2 linked regions of the Oryza sativa Japonica Group genome follow. The protein of the gene in region 1 interacts with the protein of each later gene in a pairwise test. Links are inferred from orthologs where the notes say so. Each region holds a gene or a part of one and is shown on either strand. Other genes may lie near its edges.

Evidence for each region. The genes of interacting proteins can lie anywhere in the genome.
Region 2: the proteins of molybdopterin synthase catalytic subunit (region 1) and molybdopterin synthase sulfur carrier subunit interact in a protein complementation assay, tested with the Arabidopsis thaliana proteins (2 studies listed by BioGRID). The link is inferred for Oryza sativa Japonica Group from reciprocal best matches to the Arabidopsis thaliana genes AT2G43760 and CNX7.

The regions. Positions count from the first base shown.
Region 1 is NC_089036.1:2,166,362-2,169,243, forward strand, and holds molybdopterin synthase catalytic subunit, read left to right. Parts: upstream 1-1,349; 5' UTR 1,350-1,567; coding exon 1,568-2,149; 3' UTR 2,150-2,380; downstream 2,381-2,882. UniProt on the Arabidopsis thaliana protein: Catalytic subunit of the molybdopterin synthase complex, a complex that catalyzes the conversion of precursor Z into molybdopterin.
Region 2 is NC_089036.1:21,642,647-21,645,282, forward strand, and holds molybdopterin synthase sulfur carrier subunit, read left to right. Parts: upstream 1-1,376; 5' UTR 1,377-1,427; coding exon 1,428-1,757; 3' UTR 1,758-2,028; downstream 2,029-2,636.

The DNA of each region.
Region 1 (2,882 bases):
ACTTAATTAATCATGCGCTAATGGCTCACCTCGTTTTACGTATCTTCCCAATCTTCTCAATCTCCTCTCCCTCAAATACAGCCTTAGTGTTCAGCATTTATGCTCGAACAACAACAACTAAGCTAATCTGAATTCAAAAAAGAACTAAACTAATCAGAGAGGGTAAATGGTTGGATTACCAAAATCTAAATCTTTTATCAGAATTAAAAGTTACCATCGAATCGATGGAGATCGGTCTGACCGGAGTTGATGCGTAGGTCTGACTGGACAGATACCTCCGGGCTGATCGCCCGTTGCGCAGCCGTCACCTGTTGCTGCTGCAGTCGGTCTGAATGAGCAGTAGACGCCACTCTAACCGCCGCACCCGAGCAAAACACAAATCGAAGACTCTTGAAAGTAGATTAATCTTTATTGCTTCTATGCGTATTTACAAAGTGCAAGTGAAAAATAGGGGCTAGGGCTCATGAATAATGTTGCTTAACATAAAGTGTTTGAACGATTTATAGCTTTGGTCAGATCTGTACGTTGAAGACTTGAAGTCGTAGTTCCTCATCGTTTCACTTATACTTATACTTATATACTTATGTTTACAAACTAAAATTTAATTTTTTTAAATTTTAGTTTTGAACTTGATTTTAAGGTTTTTTTTCATGATTTATTTTGCAACATTTTCTTTTATATCGCTTAGGAGTTTGAACTATAAATTAATTTTTGTTTGCTAACAAACAGTAGAAATAAACATCAGGATAAGCGGAATGATGGGATCGATAGTATCAAAATGAGAAATAGTTGCAACGTGTCTTAAATCTTCCTATCTTCAGCTAGCCTACAGAACTCAATTCAATTTCTTATTAAATATACTATGAAGAGATCATAAGCTGAACCTATTGCTGCTACATCTGAATTTCAATTTCAATTTAAATGCTGCAAATATTGTGAAACCTGAAGATTCCGAAGCAGATTGGATTTATCTAGCGCATGCTCGCTCGATTACTTCATAGCTCAAAATTTTATAGATGGCGATGGGACCGATCATCAATCCCCATGGTGAATTCACGTATTAGGGGATGAAGATGGTTAATATCTACCATCTAAGAAAAATCTAATGGTCCAAAACACATCACTATCGGGGATGGCCGGCAGGGAGGCCGCTCCACTCCCACCCTAAGTCCCTATCCCTCGCGGTGACCCGCATGCATTGTAGCTAGGGACCAATTATAGACTTTATTAGTCGTTTTGGCTATAAAATTGAAGCCCAATAACCAGATATGTATAGCTTCTAACCCTAGTCAACGTCAACCCTCCCCTTCCCCACATTTCTCCAATCTCCACCTCCACCGCGCCGCCGCCGCCGCTCCAGAGTCCAACGCGCGCGCCGCCGGCCGCCGCCTCCCCTTGCGCCGTCGCGCGGGCTCGGTCCCGTCCCCAACCGTCGACGAGCGCGCGCCGCCGGCCGCCGCCTCCCCTCGCGCAGTCGCGCGGGCGCGCTCCCGTCCCCACGAAACCTTATCTCTCTCTCTCTCTCTCTCTCCCACGAACGCGACGACTTCGATCTCAACCCCACCCCATGGCTAGCGACGAGCTCCCCGTGGCGGCAGCGGCAACCGAGGAGGAGGACCTCGTGGAGATCCTCGACGAGGGGTCAGGCCGGCTCGACATCGCACGGTACGTGGACCACGTCCGCGACCTGGCGGCGGGCGCCATCGCCACGTTCGAGGGCACCACCCGCGACAGCTTCGAGGGGAGGCGGGTGGTGGAGCTCCGGTACGAGGCGTACGGGGCCATGGCGCGGCGCCGGCTCGCGGCCATCCTCCGGGAGGCCCGCGCCGCCCACTCGCTGCGGCGGCTCGCCGTGGCGCACCGCCTCGGGACGGTCCCCGCCGGCGAGGCGAGCGTGTTCGTGGCGGCGTCCGCGGTGCACCGCGCCGACGCGATGGAGGCGTGCCGCTACGTCATCGACGAGGTCAAAGCGTCCGTGCCCATCTGGAAGAAGGAGGTGTACGACGACGGCGAGGTCTGGAAGGAGAACCGCGAGTTCCTCGACCGCACCACCACCGACGGCACCACCGCGTCGTCGCCGGCGCCGGCGACGCGGCCGGCGAAGGGCGGCGGTTGCTGCGGCCGCAAGGTGAGAGTCAACGAGAGCTGATGCCAACCGCCGGATCGCAATCGGACGGACGTGGTTTTTTTTATTTTTTTATTTTAAAGAGAAGAGAAGGAACTACTTGTATCATGTGATTGTGTAACCGGAAATTAAATTCCGTGAGAAAATAATGAAACACGCAATGTCTAAATTTAAATTTCAGAAGCAAATTCCACCAAACGTCATAATTGTACCATCAACTTTGCCAACTGAGCACAACAAATCAATGGTTGCGTAGTTTATCTGCCTTTATTTTTGTTTTTCCTAACGAAGAAGCAGAGTAGCTGTCGCATTCGCACGGGAGTCACAAAGATGATCACAAATAGTAGTGGCTATTAATTGCTTCGTTTGATAGATTTGACAAATTTTGCGATATTCACATATGACTCATGTAAATTTTGCTACTAATGACAGTTTAATAGTAGTGACATAACTTTGTGGTATTTCACATTCTTTGCTGAGACAAGGCCACGTGATTGCCCAAGATTCAGTTGATACTTTGTGCAAGCCATCATTGCTGCATGAATAACCCTCTTTTTAACACGAGAAAATTGCAAAAAACACACCAGATATCACCTTGAGTTTGAGATTCCTCATATACGACTATTGTTGCAAATACTTCCTCCTAATTCTGACATTTCTCTCCAATTAGCATTATTAACGTGCTTTTTTTCCAGTTTCAGTGTTGTACAGTAGGAATTAGCGTATTTGTTGATAAACATGTCAATAAACACATTTT
Region 2 (2,636 bases), about 19 Mb from region 1:
ACGCTGAGGTTGTAGGTTGCGGGAGGGGGATATGGGATAAAGAAGAGAGAAGATGTTTCACTGACACGTGCATCTTATGTGAGTTTTTATTTTTGCCTCTGGCATGACGTCAGCTGAAACCATCATAAATACACTTTTGGGGGCTATGCTTGCACCAGTTTTGAAAGATAGGTATGTGTTATACCCATTTTGTGGTCTAAGGATATCAACTCTGGACTTTTGCACTAGCAAGAACTCCCTCCGTCCCATAATATAAGGGATTTTGAGTTTTTGTTTGTATTGTTTGACCACTCGTCTTATTAAAAAAATTTGCGCAAATATAAAAAAACAAAAAGTTGTGCTTAAAGTACTTTGGATAATAAAGTAAGTTAAAAAAAATAAATAATAATTCAAAATTTTTTTAAATAAGACTAGTGGTCAAATAGTACAAGTAAAAACTCAAAATCCCTTTCATTATGGATGGAGGGAGTAGCAACTACCGATCGAAGTTACCGGCAAATATGGTCCGAAATTATCACTCTTACAGGCCAAATTTATCAGCAACTACGAACGGAGTACGGAGATTGTCAATGCCAATGGGCAAAAATTTATGAGCTACCACGGGATAAAATTACCAGCAGGTACGGGCCAAAATCACAAGCAGCCATTAAAGTGTAATTAATGGGCTTCTTTTCGATGGCTCTTGTTGGGCTTAATTAATGTTTGCGGAAATTGGGCTCTGTTTAATTTGTGGTGGGCCGATGTCAAAGGAGCTCAGGAGCAGGTTTGAAATGAAATGTGAAGCATCTTTGTTTCTTACTAAAGTACGAAGTGAAAAATGCTGTGCAAACTGAAATGAAATTTGAATGTGAAGCGTCTTATAAATACTACTCCCTATGTCCTATGATATAAGGAATTTTGAGCTCTGTCCCATGATATAAGGAATTTTGAGTTCTTGCTTTACACTGTTTGACCACTCGTCTTGTTCAAAAAAATTTTAGATTTATTATTTATTTTTTTTGACTTACTTTATTATCTAAAGTATTTTAAGCACAAATTTTCGTTTTTTATATTTGCACAAATTTTTTGAATAAGATAAGTGGTCAAACAATGTAAATAAAAACTCAAAATCTCTAATATTATGGGATGGAGGGAGTAGTATAAACAAAAATGTTGTGCAAAATTGAAGAAAAACCAAAAAAAATATGCAATTCTTTTTTCAAAAAAACGTGGTCGGCAGGATTCGAACCTGCGCGGGCAAAGCCCACATGATTTCTAGTCATGCCCGATAACCACTCCGGCACGACCACGCTTGCTGTTCATCCTTCTTCTCAAAGAATCTCATATCCCCGCAGTTTCACCGATAAATTTCTCGCAATCCCATTGACCGCAGCAGCATCTGCAGCAGCGGAGCAGATCGGCATCCGCCGCTTCCTCCTCCTCCGGCGATGGCGCTGGATCCCAAAGCCAATCACGCTGCCGCTGCTGCTGCTTCCGCCGACAACCCCACGGCGGCGGCGGCGAAGGCGAAGGTGAAGGTGAAGGTGCTCTTCTTCGCCCGCGCGCGGGACCTGACGGGCGTGACGGAGGCCCCGGTGGAGGTGCCGGCAGGGAGCACGGCGGGAGACTGCCTCGCCCGGGTGCTGGCCGCCTTCCCCAGGCTGGAGGAGATCCGGCGATCCATGGTGCTCGCGCTCAACGAGGAGTACGCGCCCGAGGACGCCGCCGTCGGGGACGGCGACGAGCTCGCCATCATCCCGCCCATCAGCGGCGGCTGACAATCTTTCCACTTCTCCACCACCCTCCCCCCAATTCGAAGACACGGGGGCGCAAAGAGAGAAGAAACCACCGGTTCTTTCTTTTGCTTTCCTCTTCTTTCTACTTGTTTCCTGATACAATTTCAATCATACAATATACGCAAGTTTGAGTAATAAGCATCGCCTGTTTTCGCGATGATAATTGTTACTTGGCATCGTTGTCCTTCAATCATGTTGATGAATCTTGAATCACATTTCGATTTGAAGTGATATATGTGTGTGCTTCTTGTCTCTTGTGTGGACTTGTCTAATGACTAAAGCGGTGGTAAAGACAATTGAGATGAAATCATTGTCATGAAACAAAATCGATTTAAACTTCAGTGCATGATTGATCAGTGGGTTACTGATAATAATAAAGCTAAAGTTGGAAAATACTCCAAAAGTTGGAAGCAAATGGTGCAGATAAATCATGTGATTTTCGGTTGGGTTCTTGTGTTGTGCCTCATGGCGTGACTTGTGGACGAGTTAAGGGAGGTCAGTGGTAAAATTAAAATGATCCTTAGGCAACTAAAAGAGCAAAATTATGTGGATTGTGGATGGTCCAAATTGATCAACTGGCAGAAGTAGTGGAGGAATAAATCATATTTCCTCTCCGCTGGTTTCTTGTTAGCCACAGGAGAGCAGTGGAGGGAAGAGCTCCTTTTCATCCTGCCAAAACAATCTCAGCAAAATCAGTCCACGCGTTGTGTAGACCAATTCCTTTTTCTTATTGGGTGTGTTGTTGCACTGTTTGAGTGATAGATCAATTCCTGGTACTCCCCCCGTCCGAGAAGTTTTAGAGTTGGACACGGTTATTAAGAAAGTAGGTAGAAATGAGTGGTGGAGGGTTGTGATTGGATG